Mytilus edulis: one gene and its partners. The protein of the gene in region 4 binds, or shares a complex with, the protein of the main gene of each other region. Links are inferred from orthologs where the notes say so. Each region holds a gene or a part of one and is shown on either strand. Other genes may lie near its edges. The genes, in order: nuclear pore complex protein Nup214-like, nuclear pore complex protein Nup54-like, nuclear pore complex protein Nup107-like and nuclear pore complex protein Nup205-like.

Region 1 (7,338 bases), on a different chromosome or scaffold from region 4:
AGTTCATTGATGATACAATCGTCATATAGTATAACTAAAACTAAACATGCTCAAAGATGTATTATGTGTAACTTATTTTCAAATCATTCATTTATTAGTTTATCATCATGATCATGCAGTGTTAATTGAATTAATTTGAAAGGGATATAAACTGTCAGTCTTGATTAGATAAATGTCAGAAACCTGCTGGTTGTAGTTTGTTACTGTCTGTTATTTATGTTTTCCTGTAAATCATGTACATGTATATTGTTTGCCATGAATCTTAGATCTTGCCAATGGTTTCATATTTTGTCATGTTGAGGATTTTAACAAAGACCATACTGTATTATTCTGCTCACTATTGAAGGTTTGTACAGTAACCTATATTTGATTACATCCACACCTTTTGGACACAGGTGGATAGCTGTCTCATTGGCAATCATTCCACATTTTCTTATTTTCATGCTTTTCTCTCCACATCAATACAATTTTGGGCTGTTTGAGCTTTTTGGATGGGTTGTTGTCTCTTTGACATGTTTGACCAAAACCTAGTATTCATTTTCTATCCCAATCTACTAACAGTTTAATCACCAGTGGCTCTTTACATATAAAAATTGTATGACTGAATTGTACAAGTATTTTTTTTGAAAGATTTTTTGTGAAATGAGTGTCAGTTCTACATTTTATAAATATTTACCTGAACTTTCTTCAATGCTACAACACTGCCATCTATTTTATTAATAGCTCTATATACTTCAGAAAACTGTCCCTTTCCTATCTTTTTATCTATTTTAAAATTAGCAAGGCAGCCATATTTACTGTCCTGTTCATCAGTAGGGGAGGGGTTTCCTTCTAAGTCCATTGGCTCCATACCCCCGGCAGCCATATTGGTAGCCTTTAACCTAATGAGAAATGAACTAAATATTGTAACATACAATGTACAGTGACCTACATGTATAGTTATTAATGTCTGTGTCATTTTGGTCTCTTGTGGACAGTTGTCTCATTGGCATCATACCCTTTTTAAAAATGTATGTTTACATTAAATTGCCGTAATCAATATTTTTAGAAAGAATTACAAGTTCTTCTTTCGTCAAATTGCTGTCATCACTAATTTTCAGAAAGAATTTAACTTCATTCATCAAATTCAGTCCATTTACTTTTAATCAGCAAGCACCAAAAATTACTATTAAATTATCAAATTATTGCATTAACATGATTAATGTCATATCGCGCATTTGGCAAAATAATTTACTGTTATAAATTCGTCCCCCATTACAACCATAGAGGATACACTTATCACTATTTGTCGGCCATTACTGGGTATCACAAAAGTTCCCTTAAAATTCTGACATCATAAAAGAAAATATCTGACGCCACAATGGAAAAGTGATTGTAGTATGACGTCAAAATTCAAGTGGGCCAGATTCTTGGGTCAAACGCTGAAGCGGGAACAGCGATACGGTCTATACACCTTAATGCTAATACCAGCTGCGACGCATACAACAATCACTTTTCCATTGTGGCATCAGATAGTTTGTTTTATGAACCTGTGTAATATCCAGTAATCAACAGACATATATATATAGCGATAAGGTGTACCTATTGATAGAGCAGTTGATTATTACTCTTTCAATTGAACAAGAGATTGGTTGAGGGCATCCAGTACCAGTGTATTTTATGCTGGAAAGAACATTTTTTTTTATTATAATATACATGTATCTGTATAAATTTATCTGATTGGTTGTTGTTGTTTGATCTGGTACCAGGTAGGAAAATGTGGAAAAATTTCAACAGAGTATTCATAGATGAAGTACAATTAACTGCCGCATTCTATCGATAACAAAAGAATGGTTTACCTTGTTTACCTTCCGTTCTAGTTTTTTTTGTACCGAATAGTATAGGAATTTAATGGAAGTGTTTGGTGCGCATGAGTTAATTTTTCCTGACAACGTCATTCGGTTATCCTCTCGATTTTAGTTCAAAATAAACGAAAACATCGAAGAAATTAAATCAAAATCTTTTGTACGTTTTAGACAAATTGCGAAATAATGAGATATTAAAGATTAAATTTCAAATCAAATCAAATCAAATATGTTTATTGGATAATCAATATATATGTACAGTGCACAATTGATGTCTTCCACACAATGAACAGATATTAAAACAATTAATACAAAATAAATGCATATACATTAGAAATAATATCTGGACAGAGCTAATATAAGTTGTAAAACATTAATATAGTTCAAAAGCTTTTTCAATAAAAGTACAGATAGCTTTTGTATCAATTTTATTTAAAGGATACATAATGTTATGTAGAATAGTAGATTCCTTTTCCCTTTTATTTAAATCCGAGGGGTCGATATTTAATTTTTTGAAGAGATCTTGTCTTAAAATTGAAAACTTTTTACAGTATAAAATGAAGTGTTTTTCATCATCTAATAAATCACAAGTCTGACAAAGTCTTGAGTTATGCGGAATTTTTGGTCTATGATAACGACCTTTTTCTATTAAAAGAGAATGTGCACTAATTCTTAACTTAGTCAAATTTTTACATAGTGCTTTTGGAATATTAAAGTCAAGATATTTTTGAAGAGAAAAATTTGTGTAACAAAATGAAAAATATTTAAGCTTTGAGTCAGAATTGTAATTAGAATAATTTTGAAGCTGTTCTTTAATTAGTTGGATGGTTTGATCGTGTATTTTCAATTCTAGATTTTCATTTTCCAAATTCTTTACATCCAATTTAAATTTTTTGCAACTATAATCAATAAATGAATACCATGATTTTGACCCCTCTTTGAAAAGTCCTCTATCTACTTTATACACTTCAGCAAGAAATCTATCAGATGGAAGTTGTTGCAGTCTTATGAAATATTTAAAAGCCAATTTAGTAATAAAATTAATAATTGGTAATCTTCCTAATCACACCTGGAGGCTAAATTTGATGCCTTTTTATGTACTCCAAGTAGATATTTACAAAATTTATTATGTATTTTTTCAAATGGTATATTATCTTTATTTAAATCTTTTAAAGTAAAATCGGATATCCAAACTTCTGATCCATAGGTTGTAATAGGTCTAATTAGAGAATCAAATAACTTTAGCTTAAGCTTGGTACCAGAGTAATTATAATCTAGAATATTTGATTTAAGACTAAATACTGCTTTAAGAGCTTTATTATACATATGTTCTGCGGCATGCTTTAAATTGCCATTAAATGAAATCAGCATTCCAAGATATTTATATTTATCGACTGTTTCTATATTTTGACCATTAATTTTAAATTTGATGGCAGATTTTTTCTTGCCCTTACTAAAAATCATAACTTTAGTTTTAGTAATATTGACTTTCAACTTCCATCTGTTACAATATATTCCCAGGCTGTCCAGACAAGCTTGTAAACCCTTTTCACTCTCTGACAGTAGAATTAAATCATCTGCATATTGTAAACAATTAAATTGTGTTGTAATGAGTGACACAGGAAATGTTTTTGAAAAATCAAATATTTTTGGCAGATCATTAGTGTATATATTAAATAACAGAGGGCTAAGACCATCACCTTGTCTAACACCCCTATTGGCTCTATGAGCTTCTGAAATAAAGTTTTCTTTTTTTACCACAAACTTTGAATTAGAGTACATATGTTTAATTATCTTATAGAAATTTCCTCCAATTTTAAGATTTAATAGTTTTTTAAGTAATCCTGAGTGCCAAACAGAGTCAAAAGCTTTAGAGAGATCTACAAAACAAGCAAAAATAGGCTTTTTTAATTTGTGTAAATATTTATTTATCAAAGTTTTAATAGTGAAAATATGATCTGCAGTTCTATAATCTGGTCTGAATCCTGCTTGAAAGGGATTATAAAGATTATTTTCTTCCATATATTTATGCAGTCTTTTCTGTAATAATGAGGTGAAAAGCTTGCCAAGACAGCTGGTAAGGCTAATACATCTATAATTATCGCATATGTTTATGTCACCATTTTTGTGTAAGAAGGAAGTACAAGATAAATTCCAAGCATCTGGAAATTTTCCGCTTGATAAAATTCTGTTAAATAAATTAACAATAGGTAAAAGTAATAGGTCTTTTCCATATAAAAGGAATTCATTATATATAAGGTCTATTCCTGGTTGTTTATTCTTCTTAAGTTTTTTAATGCCATCTCTGACTTCTTTACAAATGAATGCATAATCTAAATGTTTATTATTAATATTTTCAATTTCTATCTTCGAGATATCTAAATCAGTATTATTTTCTTCATAAAGCTTTTTTAAGTAATTTGACATTTCAGATAGAGGTATAGGATTTTCTTCTCTATTTGTATTTTTCTTCAGATTATTAAAATTTAACATTGAACGAAATTTTGCAATATTTACAATTTGGGGCCAAATTTTGCAATATTTAAAAGCGAAAGTTTAGATTTAGATTATGGCAACAGCTGACGAACCTCCGGAAAGAGACGTGAAGGTATGTTGTGTTTGTAATGTGTAATAGTAGGCAGGTGTTACAATGTCGAAGAAATGACTATTTTGAAACTCATTTTTATAAAATTTTTGCAACAAAAAACAGTATAGACCTACTTTACATTGCATACCTGCCAACTTTTCAAAATGCCCATGGGTGTTTTACGTGCAAAATGGCTCTCCAAGTCCTACACAACCTGTAAAGGGGCCTTCAAATTTATTTTAATGATGTTTATTTGCTTCCTCATACTTGCATGCATACTGTATACAATCCTATACCAATGATTAATTGTTTGATTTGTTTTAAATTTTGGACAAAATTGCTCTTTCAAAATTTCAAATTGGAAGCCTCTAAAGGGGGAAACCCTCGCAAATAGTGACAGTTGGCAGGAATACAGTCTATGATTTTTGGAAACAAGACTTATATATGTTTTTAAGTTTAAACACACTTTCTTGTTCAAAATGACAAATGGGATAGACACAAGTTTTTCAACTAAGTATTGTCTTCTCCAATTATAGTTTATAGGTCAGGGAGCCAGTGCGGCCATGTAATAAAGTTATTTTAAGTTTTACTTCTATTTGATATTGAATCATATGTTGTTGTATTTATAAAGACTTCAGATAAATGGAAAACAGATCACATATTAATTGTCCATTAATTTGTTTAATCAGGATTTCAGATATCAGCAGCTATGCAGGTTTCAGATAGATGATGGCAATTCACCAGTAAGGGGGAAGAGTCCTCAGTTAGTTGCAGCTTCCTCAAAATATGGAGTAGTCTTTGTTGGTACAAGTAACGGTAAGTCATTTGGGGAAAAAAAGCAGTTCAGGGTTCAATGCCAGACATATTTTTAGAAGACCTGCCTGGTAGAAGAGGTAAATAAATAAATAAGCTTTATTTAGAGTCGGCAATGTATACAAACATAAACAACATAAGCTCTAATGAGCTTTTAACTGACATACAAGACATTTATAACAATACAACATTTAAAACAATACAACACATAATACACAAGCAATAAATTACGCAGCACAAAATGAAGGACTAAAAGCATAGTGGTAATAAGCAGAATATAAGCATGCTAAGCTAAGTATTAAAGCTAAAAGCATATAAGTGTAAACTATACATGATTAAAAAGCTGGTAAAAATGCATAGCATTAAATATTTAAAAAAAGATGTATGATCTAAACAATGGTAAATAATTTTCATGATTTTAGCATAATTTTAGGATAAAATCTGCACAAACTGTAAACTGTAAATGTAATGCATGAATATGATTAATAGTAATTGAACCAATGAAAGGCTAAAATCTCTATTGCATTGCAGTCTTATCTAATTTTTGTTGAGCCTTAGACTTTTGTCGAAAAAGCGAGACATAGCGATCCTACATTATGGCGTCTACGTCATTGTTGTTGTTGTCAGTAGCGTCCACAAATATTCACTAGATGACTGATGTGGTTAAAGTTTTTAAAATTTAAATAACTTTCTTAAACTCTCCTGAATTTGTACCAAATTTGGACAGAAGCTTGTGTATAATCATGATCATATGATAGTATCCAGAAATAAATTTTGTAAAAAAAAATGCCATTTTTTCCCGTATTTTACTAATAAATGGACAATAATGGACTTAGTTTTTCTGCCAGGAAACATTACATGTACATTCACTCTGTGGTTTAAGTTTTTAAAATTTTAATAACTTTCTTAAACTATCTGGGATTTGTACCAAATTTGGACAGAAGCTTGTTTATGATAAAATGCTAGTATCTAGTAGGAAATGTTGTTAAAATTTTGTTCCTGTTTCAGTATTTTACCTGTAAATGGACTTAGTTTTTCTTCCAGTTAACATTACATCCAGTCTGCAGTTAAAGTTTTTAAAATATTTATTAGATTCATAAACTACACTGAATTTTAACTAAACTTGGACAGAAGCTTCTTACAATCAAAAGATAGTCATGATAGTATCGAGAAAGATATTTTGATTAATTTTTTCCTCATTTTTGGTGAGCCTATGTTCTATTCATCATATTTGTAGGATTTAAAGTGATACAGACATCTGAACTGAGTAGAATTGATAGAGAACATGCTAAAGACAGAACAAAAATAATTGTGAAAGAATATCCTTGCCAGGCGTCAATAGAGTTATCTGCCCCTCCATCATTGTTGGCACTTAGTTGTGACAGTCTTAGCTTGGCTGTGGTTGTAGAAAGTGCAGATTTGTCACAAGTCTACATATATGATACTAGAAGTTTTGTCAGTCAGGTAAATTATATAGACATAAAGTCTTTATTCATAGGTTTGATTAAAGAGAATTTCTCCAGAGAGAGCCAGTATCTGTTTTTTTTTCCATGGAGCTGATGTATTCTTGCATTGTTAACCCTTAGTATCCTTTAAAAGTGTTTTTCTAGGTACAAACTCATAGATTTGATTTTTTTCTAATAAACATGATAAATACTACACAATGCACTAGTTTCTTTTTCTGTGTATTTCAAGCAATTAAACATAATTTCAAATAACAAGAGTTGTGATCAGAAGCTGCATACCACCAACATTTTAAAAAGGACTGGCAAAATTTTTGAATTTATGGTATTTTGCAACAGAAATAACAATAAGTACCACCAGATTTTCTCCAATGACATACATCAAAAAATGTTTTAATAACTCTTAAATAATATTGATGAGTATTAAACATGGTTAGTTGGAGTGGTATTTAGCTCAGAATTTGGTGGTTAGTGGAATAATAAATTTTTAAAAAAATGTTTGAAGATATCTATTTGTTATGTTGCAATATTTTAAATGAATTTATACTGCACTCGTTCTATTTGAGCAGTCAAAATGCGTTGACTGTATATTTCTATGCCATATACAGTCACTGACCTGATATTACTTTTC
Region 2 (7,849 bases), on a different chromosome or scaffold from region 4:
TATCTTTTTAAACATGTTAAAGAACATCCCAGTTGTGTAAAATGGTTTCCATATCAAACAAGACGGTGGCTACTGAAAATTCAATGAACAAATACCTCAAAGTTCAAAGATCAATATTTAAAAAACGATCTGAGAAATCTTTTAAAATACAAATGTACATCATTTTGCAATGACAAAATGTATAAAATTTCATTAAAACGATTTTTTGTTAAACCTGAACATATAGTTATGAAGAACACTTCGTAAATGTGAAATGATTTGCTATAAAGTCATGTGACAAATAATTGTCGATGTAAGGCGTCAAAGAAAAAACATTTAATAGCCTTTAAAATGTCATAATTATTTGGACTAGGTCATGATGATGAGTCAAAGTAACGTTATAAAAAGTCCAAATAATTATGACGTCTGGCAAGGCTATTTTAATTTTTTCTGGGTTGTCCTACAGTCAGGGGACTTACTTAAACAAGTGATTTTCTAAATCACTGATTCAAGTAACATTATTTCCATAAAGGTTCGAAGTTAGAGTTGTCTTTCTCTAATAATCACCTATTTAAGTAGTACAAATTAATCACTAGAAGAAGTGATTTAATATTAGTGTAGCTTTAAATATAGAATACTAATGATCCAGGGCCTTAAATTATGTTTCTAAATTTATCAGAACCAACATCAGTCATCTGTGTTGTCTAGGATGACCAGGTCATTTCAGGTGATGACCTTGTACTGAATCTAGGATAATGACATAAAAATCACTTGTTTAAGTATCAGACCTCAATTTCCTTCCCAAAAATCACTTCTTTAAGTATCATTCTTTTAATAACCCCCACTAATTTCAACACCCCCGAACAGTGAAATTTTTATCGCGAACAGCGAACAGTAGAATTTTATTACATAATCTGAAAGATGAAACCTTGAACTTCACAGGAAAAATACTCCCACTGCTGTGAAAAATCTTTTAAGAAAGTATCAGTTCATTATGTAAAGCCATTATTATAGCATTTTTTCAACTAAAATAGAATTTTCAGAATGATAGCATCAAAGGCATAAACCTTGCTACTTAACAGAAGCAAAAAGTTCATATTTTTTAATTTTTACTAATTGAAAGATGCTATTTAAACCTATATGTTTAAAATTTAAAAAAAACTACAAAATCCCAATTTGTGACAAGACCTCGAATTTGCTACTCAAATAAGTGATTTTTACAGTAAGTCCCCTGACTGTCCTATGATGTTGTAGGAAGGCATCCCAGAAAAAAATTAAAATAGCCTTGCAAGACGTCATAATTATTTGGACTACGCAGGGGTTCAAATTAACATTTGGTACTAGAAGGTCCAGGACCTTTGACACTCCAAACTGAAAGGTCCACAACCTAAATTACAGGTCCTACTTTCACTTGAAATATTTCATAACTCAGTAAGATACAAAATTAATGTGCTTTTGGTGTTGGGTTAGCTTGTTTAATTGTTAGTGTCACTGTTGTATAACATGTTTAATAATAAATGTAATTGTCTTGTATATGAATTCACATAATCCTTTTTTTTTTGTATTGGGGAGGGTGTCACTGTTGGTGGGTGTGTTGTCTTGTAGTTTTCACTATAATATAAAGGACCATATGCATCTCCTTTTTATATTGTTCAATTCATACCCGAGAATACAATTAAAGTTCAAATTCAAAGCTGTTTAAGTGTGTCACATCTAGTTGCACTATTATAGTCATCTGTGAAAATAAAGTAAAAAACTTCCTGAGATTTTACTGGCCTTCAAAATTGAAAAGAAATTACCTCTTGGAATTGTAGTAATATGTTCACACTATAAAAACATCTACATGTAATATCAACATTTAGTAATGATGAAGAAAATTACTGTCACATTTTATTGGATTTTGACACGAAAATTTGTGAACTAAAAGTAATTTTGAGTTTCTGTATAAAAATATTTTCCTTCTTTCACTTTCTTTTCAATATATCTTTTGGTTTTCAATTCTAGTATTTATATTTCATCATAAAAGATGTATTTTGTCACCTGCCTGGAATTATTATTTTTTTAATGTATTTGATCGGCAAATTCGGAGTTACACTTATCCGTCACCGGAATCTGATCCGGTATTGTAATTGTCTTCACTTCCGGTTTATGGCATGCATTGATTTTCAATGTTGTTTATGTCAGTCAAATACGATTTTACTCGGATTTACACATTACTTGTTGGCGATTTTCGGTATAAAACTAGCGGTTGAACAAAATGAACATCGCTGTCATAATTTATAAAGATAAAAATAAATTTTGAGATTGTCTGGAAATTTTGGTTAAAAAGGTCGGCAAAGTTAATTTTTATATTCTTTCAAATCGAAGGTCTGTTGAGCGTAGCTTGTAACAATAACGAAAGTCTGATTGCAATAGTGGAAGGTCCACCGCTAATTTGAACCCCTGCTATATGTACGTTATAAATAGCAATTGAAAGAGAAAGTAAAGTGAAAGTATTGATTAAATTTACTGTAAATTCAGAAATTATTGTGTGCATTTATTATTAGGATTCTGTCATTTGAGACTTGAATGCAATTTTAATTTTTAATGATTTTGAGAAAAATACTGATTAATTCATATAAAACTCAAAATACGAGTTTAAATTATTGACTTTACAACTTTACAGGAAAAAAATCATATTATGGTGCACCTCTTTTTTGATACGACTCTTTGAAAGTACCAAATTTACGTAAATATACGTTGATAGTGGGTCTTCCCATAGATAGAAACAAGTGGCCTGTGACACAAATAATTTCAGACTAAAATAATTTACGCAGTTTTATCTGATAATCCATAATTAATATAATGATACCTGTGCTTTGAGTTTGTGTGCCGAATCCTCCAAATCCTGTTGAAGTAGATGTAGTAGCTGTTGTTCCAAAAGGAGTCGTCGCTGCTCCTCCAAAAAATGCCATACTTTTTCTATTCCTAAATTTCTAAATTTCCATTCCCGCGTTTCTTTCCTCCTGACTGGAGAGCAAAATAGTTATCTCCCCTAAACAGATTACTTCGGTTACACTAATTAGCGACAAGAAGGATTTCAGCGACAAGAAGTGACAAGAAGAATAATTTAGCGACAATTTTCGACTGGAAGATATAATTTAGCGACTTTATCAATCGAAAGTGATTGCTCAACGTCTCTTTGTTCTTAAGAAAATTATTGGTACTTTCAAGTTTTCATAATTATAGCCTTGCTGTATTAAAATCAAATACTTAAATGATTAGTTTACAAACTAATGAACTAAAAGAGACACGAACAGGAACATATATTATTAATAGATATATACTGTTCCCATGTTATATACTAGTATAGACACAATTGGTTCTGAAGGGGCGCACTACGTTTGCGCGCATTTGGGGATTAAAATATTTTATGTTTGCGCGCAGCTTTTGATTACATTTGCGCGCATTCATTTTACAGGTAATCTCAGGTAAAAATAATAATTCATATATATTAACACACTGATTAAATTATAAATGACTATACTTTATTGGTATTTTAATAATAAATATGACTATCAATTATTAATTTTTAAAATAGTTTGTTAATTCAAATTATATATTGTTCATATTGAATTCTAAAATCAATTTAAAACCCTGTTATATATATCTTAAGTTCAAGTTATGACAAATGGGCTATGTCACAGATTTCTTAAACTTTTGTCTACACCTTTGACTTGTTGAATTGTATATGAAAATCGAAAGTGGGGTATCAAAATCTCGGATTCGTACTTACAGACTAGTAATTAGGCCTACTTTTTTTTGATTGGGTAGAGTGAACATAAGAACTTCTCTTTTTTTCTTATTTCCCACTTGTACATGTTGTAAACATGAAAAAAAATGTACCTAAAGCCTCCCTTGAAAGATATTAGAATTTCAACACCGGCCCCAACAATATTTATTTGATAAAAAAAAAATAATGCGGTGAGTCTCAGCTAGCCCTTCAATTAAAATGTGTACTAGCCTAGTTCGGTGAAAATGGACGTCATACTAAATATATTTGATCTCAATAATGACAATTTTATTAAGACACATCTAACTGAGTTGACTTTAAATTAAGTTAATACTAACAATGAACCACAGGCACTTGTCTCAGATTCCCCCTCTCCCCTATATATATAGGGGGGATCGGTGTTTAAAACAACGTATTTGATTTTAACATGTTTAATGAAAGAAATCACTGTATTAATGAAAAATTATTACACAAGGGTTTTCGATATCACAAACTAGTCAAAAGATTTACTAAATGTTATCATTGGTACACATGTAAGGACATAATTCGTAAATGATAAATCAACATGCAGATATCTTATGTGTTCAGGTATTTTACATCAAATTTCTTATTGTAATATTCTCTATAAAGCACAACAATGTTGACATCAACCCCAAAATGGCAAAAGCTAACTAAACCTTTCAATAGACTGATTCAGGAGGGATATAGTTACGATACTATTGCCAGGTCATTAAAGATGGCATAGTTTGGTTTTAATATTGATTCACTCAAAGGGTCCTTGCGTCGGAAATATACACATTCATTCTAAAACCAATTGTTGACATGATACGGGATACATTTTCTCATATATTGTATGACGTTATGATACTAAACCTCTAACGGGATCGAAGGATTGTGCTTGATTTTCATATGATAAAGACATACATAATCTTTCAATCAGTTTAATTGAGGTCTGGAGCTGACATGTCAGTAACTGCTAGTAGTCTTTTGTTGATTTATGATTCATAAACCATTGTTTTTTGGTTTGTTTCTTTTGTTACCTAATCTGCCATCAGAATCGGACTTTCATAAATTGAGTTCTTTGCGAATTACTGTGTTTTTTTCTACGTTGGCTAGAGGTATAAGGGGAGCCCGGGTTGAGATTTCATTAAACATGTTTAACCTCGCCGTTGTTTGCCCGTCGTGAGTCAGGAGTCTCTTGACTTTGTTAGTCTTGTTAGATTTTTTTTTATAATTTTAGTTCATTTATATTTTTTGGAGTTAAGTATGACGTCAATTTTCACTAAACTAGTACACATTTTTGTTTAGAGGCAAGCTGAAGAACGACTCCGGCTGTGGGATTTTCTCGCTGTGTTGAAGACCCTTTGGTGGCTTTCGGCTGTTTTCTGCTCTTTGGTCGGGTTTTTGTCGCTTCGACACATTCTCCGTATCCATTCACCATTTTTCTTTTCTTTATATTTTCCTTAATGACCATGTTGAAACTAAGAAATTAAATCTTAAAAAATTGAGATGAGCAGAGCGAGACAAAAACGACAAAGCCTTTCATACCAACAAATTAGTTTGTTTTTATTGTAGGGGAAAGCGTTGTATGGTGGTCACCTTAGTCTGCAACTCAATAACATACAGTAAACAAACTTATTGACGACAAGACGTGTAAAGAATTTTCATTTGACTCCGATTTTATAAACAGTGATTTTTATTTTTGTGTGAGGGCCACAATGAAAATTAGACTAGTTCTAATTAAGTTACCCTCTTTAAATACAGAATTTATTATTATTATTATTATTATTATCACACTCTTGAAATATTTATAAGCTCTATTGTTGGTGGCCGTACGGTGACCTATGATAGTTCTTAATTTCTGCGTAGTGTCTCATTCATCATACCGCATCTACTTTTCATATTATCTTTCAAACTTTCGATACTAAATCTGCATGGCTAAAATTTCGATTTTAGAAAATTTAGCTCACTGTGATTCGCGTGTAAAATTAGATTGGTGTGAACTTCAAATATTGAGTTATCTTATAAAATGCTGTTATGTCTTTTATGGCAGATGACTTGCTTTAGGAGGTATTAATTTCTAACGCTGAAATTGTGTAATGTATATCTAATTTCATTGTACATTATTCATTGTACAACGTATTTACTTTAGACGCATTTGTTGGTAACCCGCCTGTAAGTGACACCGGTTTATAACAGTAGTATATGGGTCTCTCCTGTGGTATCAGCGATTTTCATGTTTATTTCTACAGGCGTACAAGTGAGCCGCTACATCTATTTAAATACAAATATATAGTATTCTATAAATAATATAATGTTTGAAAAAGGAAGTTTTTAATTGTTTCCATGTTTCCTTCCTTTAATTCTGTCTACGAATCGCTGAAAATAAAGAATAAAACTATGATATCATGACAGCATTTGATTTAACATTATTGCACTTTTTTTTTAAAGAAGCTCGTACGATATACGATAATTTCCCACCTAAAAACCCCATAACATCCTTTCTTTTATATCGTATTTACGGTCTAATAACTGAAAAAATCAACAAAGGACACTTTTGAAATTAAAACCTCAAGACTTAGTGCATTTTGTTTGGTAGTCGGAATACTAAGTAAACTATAAAATTTAAATGATAAAAAATACTTCCCCAAAGTTGTTACCTGTCATCTGGTCATAAAGTTAAATGTGTCACAATCGGTCGAAACTCAAATATATACTTCCCGTATGCGGACGTTGTAAAAACCATATTATGTTTATCTAATGGATGTGCAATAAACATGCAGGTAAGAAATCTTCATTTCAATTCATTTCACTGATGTATGAAATATTCGTTTTGAAAATAGAGTAAGGGGAAAGGTGCATACATAATCTTTAAATGATATAGGAGCCACAATCATGTTCTTATATTTGTATCGACTATACTTTTGAATCCTTTTCATATTTTATAAATACATGTACACATGTATTTATTTACAGTAAGATGTTGAAAGTCTATTGGCTTCCTATAATTCTACGCGTTGCATTGAAATACTCGATTTAAAGCGCACACTTAAACGAATTATACATATCAACGTAACAGCTGTTGAACAGGTCAATAAAAAAAGACACATCTTGGAGCACAAATGCACGTCGAATAACTCAACCCTTTCTCTTGACTAGTTAATACTTTGTACACATTTTGTTTGGGGACCAGCTGAAGCCCTTCTCCGGTCGCAGCATTTTCTAGCTGTGTTGAAGACCCATTGGTTGCATTCGCTTGTTTTTTGCGCTTTGGTCGGGTTGTTATCTCTTTGCCGCATTCGATCCCATTTCCATTCTTAATTTTAGCTATAATTCCCTTTCTTTCATTTCTTTTTTTCTTACTTATTTATATATGTTTACTAAAAACTGCTATGATACTTAATGACCCAGTATTCTGATTGCAAGTGTCAATATCATGGAAATCTCTTAGTTATAGCAGTAAATTTGTAAAAGAAAAAAAACCGAAAACCAAATTAAAAGGGACGTGCAGCACAACAGTTGCATTATGTCGACTCCTTGGTTCCAGCGATAGTTGTGCATAAGGGTTTGGATGAGGTTTACACAAAGGAGAATAATAGGGAAAAAGTGTATAATTAACATCTTTGAAATATAGAGATGAGCGAAAAGAGTAAAGAATAGAGAATAAAAGGGTGCTCAAATATAAAGAATAATGGCAAAATAAATAAAGAATAGAGAGGGAAATGATTAAAGAATAAAGAAATTAAAGATCACACATTCATACAGACCCTAATGCATACATCCTGTAATGCCTGCAAACAAATATCATCATTCAAAACTCACCCTGTGTGATCTACAAAACACAACGAGGAAACTGAATTACTAGACTGAGGGGGGTAGGAGGGGTCCTGATCCCGAAATCCCGGGCTTAAAAACACGAAATCCCGAGGTCTCGAATTTAAATAAAGTTAAATCCCGGATCCCGAAATTTAAAAAAAAGAATTCCCGGATCCCGAAGGAGTAAATCCCGAAATCCCGAGCTTAAAAACACCAGATCCCGGAGTCCCGATAAATGTCCTATCCCCCCCTCTAGACTTAACATAAACTGAATTAAATTGA
Region 3 (7,908 bases), on a different chromosome or scaffold from region 4:
TTTAAATGAATTTATATGATCAACTAGAAATATATATACAAATCAAAAGGGATGTTACATTAATATATTCACCAAAGTTTCATAAAATCCCCCTTTTTTTAGTATAAAAATTCATTACTTAAGAAAACGTAAAATATAAAATTTATAAAAATGGAAAGGGAGCTTATGTCAATAGATATAAACAATTTATCAAAGTTGCATAAAATTTTGTGAAAGTGTTTGTTATTGTCCCAAAATTGGAAAATCCCCCCTTTTTTAAGCATAAAAATTCATAACACGGAAATGTAAAATCTGAAATTTATAAAAATTGAAAGGGAGCTTACATCAATAGATATAAACAATTTATCAAAGTTGCATAAAATTTTGTGAAAGTGTTTGTTATTGTCCCAAAATTGGAAAATCCCCCCTTTTTTAAGCATAAAAATTCATAACACGGAAATGTAAAATCTGAAATTTATAAAAATTGAAAGGGAGCTTACATCAATAGATATAAACAATTCACCAAAGTTTCATGGACATTGGTGAAAGCCTTTTTGAGTTATTGTCCGAAGTGTTGAAAATCCCCCTTTTTTTATGAATAAAGCCCCATAAATCCAAAACTTAAAATCTGAAATTTATAAAAATTGAAAGGGAGCTTACATCAATAGATATAAACAATTCACTCAGGTTTCATGGACATTGGTGAAAGCCTTTTTGAGTTATTGCCCGAAGTGTTGAAAATACCCCTTTTTTTATGAATAAAGCCCCATAAATCCAAAACTTAAAATCTGAAATTTATAAAAATTGAAAGGGAGCTTACATCAATAGATATAAACAATTCACCAAAGTTTCATGGACATTGGTGAAAGCCTTTTTGAGTTATTGTCCGAAGTGTTGAAAATCCCCCCTTTTTTATGAATAAAGCCCCATAAATCCAAAACTTAAAATCTGAAATTTATAAAAATTGAAAGGGAGCTTACATCAATAGATATAAACAATTCACCAAAGTTTCATGGACATTGGTGAAAGCCTTTTTGAGTTATTGTCCGAAGTGTTGAAAATCCCCCTTTTTTTTATGAATAAAGCCCCATAAATCCAAAACTTTAAAACTGAAATTTATAAAAATTGAAAGGGAGCTTACATAAATAGATATAAACAATTCACTAAAGTTTCATGGACATTGGTGAAAGCCTTTTTGAGTTATTGTCCGAAGTGTTGAAAATCCCCCTTTTTTTATGAATAAAGCCCCATAAATCCAAAACTTAAAATCTGAAATGTATAAAAATTGAAAGGGAGCTTACATCAATAGATATAAACAATTCACCAAAGTTTCATGGACATTGGTGAAAGCCTTTTTGAGTTATTGTCCGAAGTGTTTAAAATCCCCCCTTTTTTATGAATAAAGCCCCATAAATCCAAAACTTAAAATCTGAAATTTATAAAAATTGAAAGGGAGCTTACGTCAATAGATATAAACAATTCACTTAAGTTTCATGGAAATTGGTGAAAGTGTTTTTGAGTTATTGTCCGAAGTGTGGACGATGTTTATATGTTTATTGTTTTTTATAACCTTCTCTATATTCTTGAACAAAATTATGACATGAAAATTGTTTTTTCCTCATGTTTTTCTTTCATTTTGATGGTTTTTTTCAAGGGGGGGGGAGAAAATCGTGTAAGACGTAATATAAAGTGCTTGTCATTTTCAAATTCTTAAAAATACTATTCATAATATTTGCTTGGCCTGTTTTGTCTGCCACTAACATGACTAACAACAATGACTAAAATCAAGGACCGATTGTACACAAAGCAATGGAGGCAAGAAGTGGGATTTTCTGAAGTTCTGAATTGTTTTTAAGCATTTGGAAGTCAGGTTTGAAACAGCCTTTAGAAAATTGGCATTTTTGTACAATACTTTAGAATAACACCGACAACATATATTTAGAAATGTTTGTTTTAATTTGGAAGAGTAGAAAAAACATATTCTGCACTTGTTTATAACGCTGGTATAAGCGTAGTGACGTCAATGCAGTTTTCCTGTGTGATAAATACAATATAAAAGTCTGAATGAACCAACAAGATGACCGATTATAGACTAGGGTAGGATATAGAGATTGAGACGGTTTGGTACCATTAAAACGTTTAATACCGCTGCAATTGTTTGCCCCTTTAGTAAGTCAGGAATCTGATGTTCAGTCGTTGTTGTCTGTTTATGTGGTTCATAATTGTTTCTCATTTTTTTTTATAGATTAGACCTTTGGTTTTCCTGTTTGAATGGTTTTACACTAGTAATTTAGGGGGCCCTTTATACCTTGCTGTTCGGTGTGAGCCAAAGCTCTGTGTTGAAGGCCTGTACCTTGACCTTAAATGGTTTAATTTTATAAATGGTTACTTGGATGGAGAGTTGTCGCATTGGCACTCATAACAAGTCTTCCTATATTTATATATATATGTAACGAATTTATATAGAAATCATATCCCTGATCATATTTCCTATGATATTAGTTCAACTAGATCTTTTTTACAGGGACAAATTTTGGCTCACATATGCCCCACACGATATTCCCCTATGGCTATGCCCCATTGTCAACGTATATTTGTTCCGCCTAACAGAAGTTCCAATGGAAACTTTGTTATAAACATTGTCATAATATCTATTCCTGTTGGAAGAAATATTATATACCATTTATTCTGTTAGGAACATATACTGTAATATTTATTCCTGTGGAAATTATTTTCCACAATATTTTTTCCTTTTGGAACTTATATTATGAAGGAACTTCTATTCCGTGACACCATATCCCTCTTTTATAATTTCGGATTTTGTATTTTGTGTAAGAATTTTTTTTACATGCATGATGTACTTTGTGTACAGTTAAAATAGAAAACAATATACAGCTAGATCTCATATATACTTCTATGACAGCTTCTGTGCTTAATGTGATCGCATACTATATTTCTCAGGGAAAAAAATCTATTTTTCATTCGCGCTGCCATAAAATCAAGGGAGGTAATCACTTTTTAAACTTTTCAATGAAAACGAATGAACTTTACTTTTAAATTTTAACATAAAAGATTGAATTGATTTTTTTAAATATTGTAGAATTCTTCTTTAACTCCATAAATCTAGTGAAATTCAACAAATAATAAAAGATTTTATCAATAATTTTAACGATTTAATTAGTTTCGTTTTGCACAAGATTCTTAAAGACTTTATAAAATGGCTTCGAAGAAGAAACGTGTTGTGCAACTTGAAGAAAAAATGCAGGCCGACGATGTCGCCGATGATGAAGAAGGGTCAAGTGACATGGATGATGATGACAGTAGTGATGGTGAAGTTAATGAAGTAAGAAAATAACCCTGTCAACCAAATAAACAATATGAACATACTGAAAGGACGTTCTCTTGAAAAAGAGTTACCCCCCTTTACCCACGTTTTTGTTTGCTCTTTTTTAATTCTCATTAGGCTACTCGTATCCGCAACTGTTTTAATAATGTTGACTTCTGGATTATTTATAACAGTTTTTTTTTCTTTTTTTTTTTATATAAATTATCAATAATTAAATTGAGTACATTTGAAAAAAAAATTAATTAGTAACTTGATATAGTATGGTGACATGTACTTCAGAGCTTTCGAGACGGGTCGGCCATACTTCCATAACGGCCATAGGATTTGTCGGCCATACCGCCACATCGGCCACACAAAATTATTGAGGTTATATAAACATAGAATATAATGATAAAATATTGCAAAGCCTGTGTTACTTTTTAGACTGCTCGAACAGCATTTCACTACCCAATCAATGTATGTTTGCACTCCGCTTGAACTCAGCTTGGGTGCTGTGTTTTTATAGAGATCTTGAACAGTATTTCTTTTTGAATTTCTTTAGTTTAGTTTAAGCATATTTATTTATAGTGGATTGGGAAACAAGTTTTGCAACTTATGTTAATCCCTTTCCACTTTGCGGGTGCGAGTGCTGCCTTGTAGCGGCATTAGCCTGCTCTTTTTCGAAATCTACAAGGGTGTCTTTAACGTGCAAGAGATATGGCTCTCTCTTATTTATGGTCCCCGTCCGACGGACTATCATCGTTTCCTCAAGACCATACTCGCAAATGGTGTCAAAATTTTCATCCCAGATTGGAATCGAACCAGGAACCTTTGTGTTAGTAGTCCGATGCACTAACCACTACACCACGGCTCTCTTAACAAAATTTCTTTACAAAAGCATAATTAATGCTTGTGTTCATCAAAGAAGTAATAATAAGCAATTAACTATCTTCTTAAATTCAAAACTTAATCATTACTTGATTACTTTGTTTTACATTTCATAACTACTGAATCTTATAGTTATATCCTTGTTTTCAAAATTCCAATAGGGAACATACCTTTTATAATTGTATAAATAAACCAATTGTTCAAGACGTTTCGGCCATTGACCTTCTTCAGTTGTTTATTATTCCTCTAAACTACATGGCTGACATTTCTTATAGTTATAGTCAGTCAGAGCTCAGACATAAATAAGTCTCAATCTGCTTTTGACTCATAGAGGTCTAAAGTTGTAGTTTTGAGATATGTTTCCCTTTAATGCAAGACAAAATACGACTTTAATAAGTTAAATATTGTTAAGCAAGAAATAATTGACCAGGATCAAAAAGTTGCAAATATTGACTCCTACAAGTCGATAAGTTCTCAAAATTGGTTAACTTCCAAGTCCCACGCATATTTATGAAAAGGTCATGCATCTAAATCAAATAATGACAACATTGAAAGGCAATGCTTTGTCTTCTAAAGAAAAATATGAATGAGAGTCTAAAAAATCGAAAATAATGTTAATTAATCTTACAATGCAACCACCTGGAACCACACTTAATGAGGTAAAACATCTGTGTTTAGTAAGGATGTTCAATTAGATAATTGAATATAGATAGCTCAAGTCCTTGTGAACTCTCAGACAGGTTTTTGCTGCCATAGGTGGTGTACTTTGGCCACTAAGTACATTTGTACAATTAAGTTTTTTTTATCAACATAAATAGACCTAAACAAGTCTGTCATTTTCTGACTTAGATAAGTCTAAAATTGAAAACACATTTTTATAATAAATACATGTTTTGACTTCTTTAAGTCAAAAACAAAAATCGACTTGTTTATGTCTGAGCTCTGACTGATAATTTTGACAGAAATAAGTCTCCCATTCGGATAAAGTCATTCGAATCATATTTGTGCATTTTGTTCTGTTAGTTATACGCAAGATATCATAAAATCATTTGGAAAACAATATGATATTTTAATATGTTATTAGATTAAACACATTCCTATATGATATACATAATGCGTAAACAAATGATATAACAAAATTAAACATGATAAATAATGTAAAAACAGTATAGTTTATTAAAAAGTTATAATAACCATCTATAAGTATCAATTTGAAAATATTTCATATATAACATCACATTTAAAAAAAAAATTAAAACATGGACGATACGTCTTTACATAGTATGGCCGTTTTTGTACTATGGCCGTTTCATCTTTTCGGGGTATGGCCGTTTCATATTTTCGGGGTATGTCCGTTTCGTCCTAGGGACGTCATGGCAGTTTGGCCGTTACTTCCTGCATCAACTTCAGACATTATAACACTGCATCAGCCATGCTGCAATTAATGCAAATAACCCATCCCCTTCCCTGCCTGACATCGAATAAAGGATACTTTTCTAAATTCTAGTGTGCAAGAATTTGAATTGTCTAAAAATTATGTCATATAGATGGTATACTCTAGATACATTTATTTTCATAGATAACAATTTTCGTGGATGAAGAAAAACGCATGTTTGTAAACATTTAAGCTCAGGGTTTTGACAGAGTCTTCATACAAGCTTTTAGAAAACTTGTCATCCGTTGAATATTTAATTGTGTGGTTCACCAATACCCAGGAAATCCACGAAAATTGGTAACCAATGAATAATAATGAATGTACAGTAATACTTTATTCATGAAATGTACTCAAAGAAAAAGTAACAGGTAAAATGTTATGTCATTGTTTTAACAAAGTTTCCTGAACTTCTGTAACATATGTAAGGTGGAACAATTTAATGTTGACAAATCAACCCCGAAAAGTTCAGAAGAGTTCCACAAAGGGTCTCTATCACAGAAATGAGAAATACTTCTCTAGTGTTTAATTATTTGTATACGATCGCAAATATTATAAAATTGTGGTCATATATTGGTATCACGTTGTTGTCGACCGAAGACGGATGGTTTCCGGATAATAACTTTAGTAAAAGTAAATAGAAATCAATAAAATTTTAACATAAGCTTTATTACCACTAAAGGAAGGTTGGGATTGATTTTGGGGTTTTTGGTTTTAATAGTTTAGTAACAAGGGGCCCAAAAGGGGTCAAAATAAATATTTTTATACGACTGCAAAAACTAAAAAAAAATTTGGTCGTAAATTTGTATCTAGTTGGTGTCGTCGTCGTCATAGTCCTAAGACTTTTGGTTTTCGCACTATAACTTTAGTTTTAAGTATATAGAAATCTATGAAATTTAAACAAAAGGTTTATGACCACAACAGGAAGGTTGGGATTGATTTTGGAAGTTTTGGTCCCAACAGTTTAGGAATTAGGGGCCAAAAAGGACCCAAATAAGCATTTTCTTTGTTTTCACACTATAACTTTAGTTTAAGTAAATAGAAATCTATGAAATTTTGACACAAGGTTTATGACCACAAAAGGAAGGTTGGGATTGATTTTGGGAGTTTTGGTTCCAACTGTTTAGGAATTAGGGGCCAAAAAAGGGCCCAAATAAGCATTATTCTTTGTTTTTGGGGTCCTAAATTAAACTTTTGTTTGATTTCTTCAAAAATTGAATAATTGGGGTTCTTTGATATGCCAAATCTAACTGTGTATGTAGATTCTTAATTTTTGGTCCCGTTTTCAAATGGTCTACATTAAAGTCCAAAGGGTCCAAAATTAAACTAAGTTTGATTTTAACAAAAATTGAATTCTTGGGCTTCTTTGATATGCTGAATCTAAACATGTACTTAGATTTTTGATTATGGGCCCAGTTTTCAAGTTGGTCCAAATCAGGATCCAAAATTATTATATCATGTATATTAAGTATTGTGCAATAGCAAGAAATTTTCAATTGCACAGTATTCAGCAATAGCAAGAAATCTTCAATTGCACAGTATTGTGCAATAGCAAGAAATTTTCAATTGCACAGTATTGCGCAATAGCAAGAAATCTTCAATTGCACTTTTTGTCGAGCCTTTGACTTTAGTCGAAAAAGCGAGACTAAGCGATCCTACATTCTGTCAGCGGCGGCGGCGTCCACAAATATTCACTCTGTGGTTAAAGTTTTTGAAATTTAATAACTTTCTTAAACTATACTGAATTTCTACCAAACTTGGACAGAAGCTTGTTTATGATCATAAGAAAGTATCCAGAAGTAAATTTTGTAAAAATAAAATTCCATTTTTTCCGTATTTTACTTAAAAATGGACTTTGTTTTTCTGCGAGGAAACATTACATTCACTCTGTGGTTAAAGTTTTAAAAATTTTAATAACTTTCATAAACTATCCTTGATTTGTACCAAACTTGGCCAGAAGCTTGTTTATGATCATAAGATAGTATCAAGAAGAATATTTTGTAAAAATAAATTTCCACTTTTCCGTATTTTACTTATAAATGGACTTTGTTTTTCTGCGAGGAAACATTACATTCACTCTGTGGTTAAAGTTTTAAAAATTTTAATAACTTTCATAAACTATCCTTGATTTGTACCAAACTTGGCCAGAAGCTTGTTTATGATCATACGATAGTATCAAGAAGAAAATTTTGTAAAAATAAATTTCCACTTTTCCGTATTTTACTTATAAATGGACTTAGTTTTTTTGCCAAACATTCACTCTGTGGTTTAAGTTTTTATACGA
Region 4 (7,439 bases):
AGTTGCACTTTGTTTTATTTAGCATGAAATCATTTTGAATTTATGATTTAAGTGTCCAATCTGAAATTTCATGCATGTGCATAAAGTAGTAAACAAAGCATGTGTATTAGTAGAGAATTCTACATAGATTAAATCTAGTTTTAATCTTATTTTAAATCAGAATTGACAATTGTCTTACATGTAGCTGAAAAGTAATTAAATAACAAAGACAGTTGTTATGGAATTTTAATTCTTTATTATAATAGGTCTCAGCTTGTGATCAATATTCAGACATAGTCACCTAGATTCAACTAACCACTGTACCTCCATGACCTCGCAACTGGTATATTGTGACTTTAGAGAAAAGAAGATATTTTATAGTTTAGATTTCTGTTTCCTATTTTACTAGAATAATTGTCTCACATAGCATTTTTTTAAAGGCAAATTCAGTATAAATTTATTCTTTAAATGTGCATTTACATTTTATTTTAACTTTATCATGTTTTCTTTAACACAGACAGTATAGTTTTATTCCTTTAGTAAAAAGGAAGAGCTTTCAATTTACGTTCCTTTTACTTTGGATTCAGATGCCAAAAGAGGCTGATACATGTAATCATCACAACAATCATGGTTAAGACAATACAACAGTTCCAGAAAGTACGGATTCAACATACAGATATACAACATTTGCAATATTTGTTTTAAATTTAGATTGAACTAATAAATTATAAGTTGCCCTTCTCTTCACTGCATTCACAAAACCGGAAAATCACTGATAATTTCTGTGTATATTTCACACTTTAACCCTGATGCAATGACATTTTACTATAATAAAACTTAATGTGGATGTGTTTAGCCTACACAGGCCAATTTGGCAACTCGTCAATGCTTGGAGGGTTTCTCAGACACTGCCTTAAGAATGAAATTATGCACTTATACATGTACATGTAATTACACCTTATCACTATCCCCGGCTGACCTGAGAATCTGTCCCACTTGTACTATAGACGTCATACAACAATCACTTTTCCATTGTGGCGTCAGATATTTTGTATTATGATGTCAAAATGTTACAGGAATCTGTTTTATGTCAGTAATGGCAGACAAATAGCGATTAGGTGTACAGTAATACAAGGTGAAGACTAGATTATTTATACTAAATAGTTCTTGTTATGCAGGGGTTAAAAAATTTTGTTACAGCTAACTAGCCCAGAACTTATAGGCAGCCGTATTTTACTAGCCCTGTTGGAAGAACTGCTTGTTCATCAAAACTGACTGGCTAGTCCGAGTATGCCTTAAAAATTAGATTTTGCTTCATAATACAACACAGTGGGTGTCACTGTTTTGAAGGCGATATTATACACTGTATTTAATATTCTTTGTTGATCTGCTATTTATTCTGTTGGTGCTTAAGGCCACAATTAAAAATATTTTGGTTTGCCCAAACCCTACCCAAGGTTGAGACAGTGGGTAGGTAGGTAGGCATTTTCTTTTTTTTTTTTTTTTTTTAAAGAAATTTACGTATCGGATATTTATTAGTCTTCATGCCTATCTGATTAAAAAAAAACTTCTTCAAATCAGGACAATAAAAGAATTTGAGTAGGCAGCTTTTTTCTGGGTAGGTAGGGTTTGGGCAAACAAATCTATTCTTTTTTATGGCCTAACCTAACTTAGTTGTTCCCACATACAAAGCAGGCTTTTTATTGGCGTGCTTGGGGAAATAACGACAATTTTCACAGAGCATCGTCTCTGGGGTTTTTTCATCAGCAACAGCCGACCTTGCCCAGGGGAATCAATCTGTATTTTTTTCCCCCTGCTTTTCTCGGTCGTATTTGGCATATTTGGGGGATGAATTTTCAGCCTCGAATTACCCTCTTCATCTACAGTTTTTCGTTTTGAAATTGACGAAGTTCCTTGGGTGCCTGTACTAAAATATTTAGATATATTTTGTTGCATGGTTTCAAGCTCAACAGCCGTCCGTGCCAAAATGATCAATTCTCCATACCCCCAATACGGTTAATTGAAAAATCTCACCATTAGCATTAAGCAATCAAATAAATATACAATACCACAGGCAGGGTATGAGAAATCAATATTTATACATGATACCGGACCACCCAGAGTTATTTGTTCTATTTAAAAGAAATATGTACAAAACCACGAGTGTACAAACCAGTTCAAATTCTTGGAATTCGGATGACGTACATTTGTAATTGAATCTGATTGGCTAAGATAGAATAGTGATGAAAGGATTTTCAACTTTCTTCCTTTTTATTTTGGAAACGTCAAAAAATTTGTGATACTAGTCCGTCGGGCATATTGGGTTACACATTTTGATTGCCTGATGCGTAAATGCTCTAGTCCCGGGTGTCGGGCTAGCGGATTTTTTAACCCCTGATTATGTACTTGTGATTTCTTTCATATAGGACAAATGAGAAATTGTTTGAATGTTATAATACGAAATTTCATAAATAATTTTTCACATTTTAGCTTTTGTTATTTTTATAGGAAACATGTCAGACAAAATCATATAATTTCGATTTGTTAACATAAAATATATGTTCTGGAAACTTTGTTGTAAATAATGCCATATCCATAAACTTTATTCCGTATTAAAGGAACAATTTTATACTGTAATATTTGTTCCAGTGGATTATTATAAATTATCCATAATATTTCTTCTTTCTGGGACTGAATGAGGAGGAACTTAAAATATATTGCATGACACTTTGACAGGTGTTGTGTAAATCTATGGATGGTGCCAGTGGGAATCCAACCCTCAAACACGGGATCTAAAAGCAGCGCTCTAGCCAATAACAATATGAGCCAAAGAAGATCTTAACCTTTTCCCGTAATTAAATAGTAAAATTCACCTGAATTTACCGCCATGCCCCCAGATGCCATAGTGGCTGTAAACTGGTATCCTGATAAAATCCCGATGCTTCACTTCAAACAGACGGTAGTGAGTATTTTGTATAAGGAACCCAGATGAATTCACGTTCTATCGGCACTTTACAATATCGACCTATACAACTCGACCCTTTGATAGAAATGGTTCTTAATCGTGTATTTTATTTTAAAAAAGCAGAGACATTTTTATATATGTATATGTCTCTAAAAACATGCATTATCATATTATGATTATTGTGAGAAAGAAAATAGGCCAAAGAAAATAATAATTATTGCGATAAAGTAAATGGGCCAAAGAAAATAATGATGAAAGATTGTTTACCGTCTTTACCGTATCTCTCGTTTGCGATGGCTGTATATACATCCTTTATGTCAAGGATTTGTATAGTTTACTATCCTTGTCCTTATAAAAATTATTCATAAAAATCAAGTTATACAAAAACTTTTGCATAACTTAAATCCGAACAAATCAGCAGAACCAGATAACATTCCATCATCCGCTTTGCTGAGAAGTCAGCCTATAACTGGTATTGTTCCAGTCTGGCAGATGACTGGACAACTGCCCATGTCTCTCATGTAAATAAAATAAAATCAAATATTGGTGTAAATTCCTAGACAGAAATAATACCAGCCGACATTTACAAATACAAAAATAAACAAACAAACAAAAAAACATACATATTTTCTCAATGATCATGATAAGAGATACATATTTTATATTTACATTGCGTGGAGGTGTTATTCATACAATATTATTAATTCAAGCTATTACAATCAGCTTTAATACTATAAAAGCTCTTAACAACATTATGTTTGCTTTAAATGAATGTTCAAATCATACATATCGCTTATTCCAGCTACACTTACAGTACTAATGTCCGTATCATTACTTTTCAAAATGAAACTAAACTTATCTTGTTCACACATTTTACAGTGACTTGACTGTTAGTGTTGCTATCTACCAATTGCAACTCATTAAAAATTTTGACCAAATTGCAATTTGTTTTATAAAATCAAATTGTTCAACTGGTCAGAGTATTGAACAAATTGTTCAGTCAAAATGTGAAAGTGCAAGGTGATAAAATAAAATATACTTACAATCCTATAAGACTTTAACTCCACTTTATTGATGGTATTACTAAATCAGTCTATCAATCTGTATATATATATTATAGCCATTACCATACTAAAGGTGAACTGTTTTATTTTTAATTGCTATAAAAATGTCCAAACTAAGCTTTTATATAGTTTTTCTTTCGAAAAGTATTCTATATTCATAAGAATCACACATTATGTGAATAAAAACATTTCATATTCAGTAAAATATTTGTGAAATTGCAATATGTTTGTAGGAAGGGGAGATAATCTTTTTTGGTTTCAAAAAATCTTTATTCAAAAGAATAGTATTTTAGGTTATCTCGACAAGGAAACTTATCAATAGCATATTGTTATTTCACACATATTTTACTGAATATATGATGAATTATTTTAAATGATATATGATTCATAAAAATATAAAATCCTTTTTATTTTTAATTGCTATAAAAATGTCCAAACTAAGCTTTTATATAGTTTTTCTTTTGAAAAGGATTTATATCTTAGTAATCTTTTAGAAAAATCTTCTCCTCTGAAACTACTGGGCCAAATTTAACCAAACTTAGCCATAATCATCATTGGGGTATCTAGTTTAAAAAATGTGTCCGGTAACTCGGCCAACAAACCAAGATGGCCGCCATGGCTAAAAATAGAACATGGGTGTAAAATGCAGTTTTTGGCTTATAACTCAAAAACCAAAGCATTAAGAGCAAATCTGACAGGAAGTAAAATTGTTGAACAGGTCACGATCTATCTGCCCTGGAATTTTCAGATGAATCGGATAATCGGTTGTAAGGTTGCTGCCCCTGAATTGGTAATTTTGAGGAAATTTTGCTGTTTTTTTGTTATTATCTTGAATATTATTATAGATAGAGATAAACTGTAAACAGCAATAATGTACAGCAAAGTAAGAACTAAAAATAAGTCAGTATGACCAAAATAGTCAATTGACCCCCTAAGGAGTTATTGCCCTTCATAGTCAATTTTTAACAATTTTCTTAAAATTTGAAGATTTTCAATAACATTTTCCACAGAAAGTACTATTATAGATAGAGATAATTGTAAGCAGCAAGAATGTTTAGTAAAGTAAGATCTACAAACACATCACCATCACCAAAACACAATTTTGTCATGAATCCATCTGTGTCCATTGTTTAATATTCACATAGACCAAGGTGAGCGACACAGGCTCTTTAGAGCCTCTAGTTTTAAGTTAAGTGGTTGCTACTTTATGAAAGCCATTTTTATAATTTGCAGTAGTTTGAATATACTAGAGATGTCTCAATTACGCATTAGAAAACGTTAGCTACAGCAGCGTGCTTACAGCCGAAAAAAAGGATTGAGATATTAGGGATAACTACATTTTTATACGACCGCAAAATTTGAAAAATTTTTCGTCGTATATTGCTATCACGTTGGCGTCGTCGTCGTCGTCGTCGGCGGCGTCCGAATACTTTTAGTTTTCGCACTCTAACTTTAGTAAAAGTTAATAGAAATCTATGAAATTTTAACACAAGGTTTATGACCACAAAAGGAAGGTTGGTATTGATTTTGGGAGTTTTGGTCCCAACATTTTAGGAATTAGGGGCCAAAAAGGGCCCAAATAAGCATTTTCTTGGTTTTCGCACTATAACTTTAGTTTATGTTAATAGAAATCTATGAAATTTTGACACAAGGTTTATGACCACAAAAGAAAGGTTGGGATTGATTTTGGGAGTTTTGGTTTCAACAGTTTAGGAATTAAGGGCCAAAAAAGGGCCCAAATAAGCATTATTCTTGGTTTTCGCACAATAACTTTAGTTTAAGTAAAAAGAAATGAATGAAATTTAAACACAATGTTTATGACCACAAAAGGAAGGTTGGTATTGATTTTGGGAGTTAAGGTCCCAACAGTTTAGGAATTAGGGGCCAAAAAGGGACCCAAATAAGCATTTTTCTTGGTTTTCGCACCATAACGTTAGTATAAGTAAATATGAAATTTAAACACAAGGTTTATGACCATAAAAGGAAGGTTGGTATTGATTTTGGGAGTTTTGGTCCCAACAGTTTAGGAATAAGGGGCCCAAAGGGTCCAAAATTAAACTTTGTTTGATTTCATCAAAATTGAATAATCGGGGTTCTTTGATATGCCGAATCTAACTGTGTATGTAGATTCTTAACTTTTGGTCCCGTTTTCTTATTGGTCTACATTAAGGTCCAAAGGGTTCAAAATTAAACTTAGTTTGATTTTGACAAAAAATGAATTGGTTGGGTTCTTTGATATGCTGAATCTAAAAATGTACTTAGATTCTTGATTATTGGCCCAGTTTTCAAGTTGGTCCAAATCAGGGTCCAAAATTAAACTTTGTTTGATTTCATCAAAAATTGAATAAATGGGGTTCTTTGATATGCCAAATCTAACTGTGTATGTAGATTCTTCATTTTTGGTCCTGTTTTCAAATTGGTCTACATTAAAGTCCAAAGGGTCCAAAATTAAACTTAGTTTGATTTTAACAAAAATTGAAATCTTGGGGTTCTTTGATATGCTGAATCCAAACATGTACTTAGATTTTTGATTATGGGCCCATTTTTCAAGTTGGTCCAAATCAGGATCTAAAATTATTATATTAAGTATTGTGCAATAGCAAGTCTTTTCAATTGCAAAGTATTGCACAATGGCAAGAAATATCTAATTGCACAATATTGTGAAATAGCAATATTTTTTTTTAATTAGAGTTATCTTTCTTTGTCCAGAATAGTAAGCAAGAAATATCTAATTGCAAAATATTGTGCAATAGCAAGATTTTTTTTTAATTGGAGTTATCTTTCTTTGTCCAGAATCAACTTAAATCTTTGTTATATACAATATACAATGCATGTTCACTTTTTACTACCAACTGATAAATTAAAATAATCTTTACCATTCAGTGATAACAAGCATTTTTTTTACATCTTAATATTTTATGATGTATTTAAATGAGTAGTTATTGTTGCAAACTCCATTAGAAATTTTAATTGAGATTAGTTTTGGAATAAGGGAAAGGGGGATGTGATTAAAAAAATTGGGTTCAATTTTTCTCATTTGAAATTTCATAAATAAAAAGAAAATTTCTTCAAACATTTTTTTGAGAGGATTAATATTCAACAGCATAGTGAATTGCTCTAAGAGAAAACAAAAATTTTAAGTTCATTAGAACACATTCATTCTGTGTCAGAAACCTATGCTGTGTCAACTATTTAATCACAATCCAAATTTAGAGCTGAATCCAGCTTGAATGTTGTGTCCATACTTGCCCCAACCGTTCAGGGTTCAACCTCTGCGGTCGTATAAAGCTACGCCCTGCGGAGCATCTGGTTATCTTTTCTGTTTGTTTCAAATGGTATTTCTTCTCCAATGAGTATTTGGTAAAGGAATAGGGTAACGTTTTTTTTAATTTATTTTAAGTGTTATTTAACGGATCTGAGATACTAGACAA

Evidence for each region.
Region 1: nuclear pore complex protein Nup205-like (region 4) and nuclear pore complex protein Nup214-like share a complex: the UniProt entries of both Drosophila melanogaster proteins name them as parts of the nuclear pore complex. The link is inferred for Mytilus edulis from reciprocal best matches to the Drosophila melanogaster genes Nup205 and Nup214.
Region 2: nuclear pore complex protein Nup205-like (region 4) and nuclear pore complex protein Nup54-like share a complex: the UniProt entries of both Drosophila melanogaster proteins name them as parts of the nuclear pore complex. The link is inferred for Mytilus edulis from reciprocal best matches to the Drosophila melanogaster genes Nup205 and Nup54.
Region 3: nuclear pore complex protein Nup205-like (region 4) and nuclear pore complex protein Nup107-like share a complex: the UniProt entries of both Drosophila melanogaster proteins name them as parts of the nuclear pore complex. The link is inferred for Mytilus edulis from reciprocal best matches to the Drosophila melanogaster genes Nup205 and Nup107.

The regions. Positions count from the first base shown.
Region 1 is NC_092345.1:2,075,694-2,083,031, forward strand, and holds the start of nuclear pore complex protein Nup214-like, read left to right. Parts: upstream 1-4,325; 5' UTR 4,326-4,413; coding exon 4,414-4,452; intron 4,453-5,120; coding exon 5,121-5,247; intron 5,248-6,481; coding exon 6,482-6,708; intron 6,709-7,338. Other genes in the region: serine/threonine-protein kinase Nek7-like, read right to left, coding at 677-865. UniProt on the Drosophila melanogaster protein: Part of the nuclear pore complex. Serves as a docking site in the receptor-mediated import of substrates across the nuclear pore complex including emb, RanGAP and phosphorylated Mad. Protects mbo/Nup88 from proteasomal degradation at the nuclear pore.
Region 2 is NC_092351.1:43,985,782-43,993,630, forward strand, and holds the start of nuclear pore complex protein Nup54-like, read right to left. Parts: upstream 3,011-7,849; 5' UTR 2,934-3,010; coding exon 2,831-2,933; intron 1-2,830. Other genes in the region: uncharacterized protein, read left to right, coding at 6,516-6,534. UniProt on the Drosophila melanogaster protein: Component of the nuclear pore complex (NPC), a complex required for the trafficking across the nuclear envelope. Essential for the nuclear import of nuclear localization signal (NLS)-containing proteins in an importin alpha/importin beta-dependent manner.
Region 3 is NC_092347.1:43,234,016-43,241,923, forward strand, and holds the start of nuclear pore complex protein Nup107-like, read right to left. Parts: upstream 3,012-7,908; 5' UTR 2,892-3,011; intron 1-2,891. Other genes in the region: protein BCCIP homolog, read left to right, coding at 3,197-3,322. UniProt on the Drosophila melanogaster protein: Plays a role in nuclear pore complex (NPC) assembly and maintenance. Required for nuclear import of Mad. Mediates the association between the nuclear pore complex and a subset of active chromatin regions adjacent to lamin-associated domains.
Region 4 is NC_092353.1:65,266,119-65,273,557, reverse strand, and holds the start of nuclear pore complex protein Nup205-like, read right to left. Parts: upstream 3,008-7,439; 5' UTR 2,884-3,007; coding exon 2,853-2,883; intron 1-2,852. UniProt on the Drosophila melanogaster protein: Plays a role in the nuclear pore complex (NPC) assembly and maintenance, but with limited role in NPC permeability. Required for specific nuclear import pathways such as Mad import.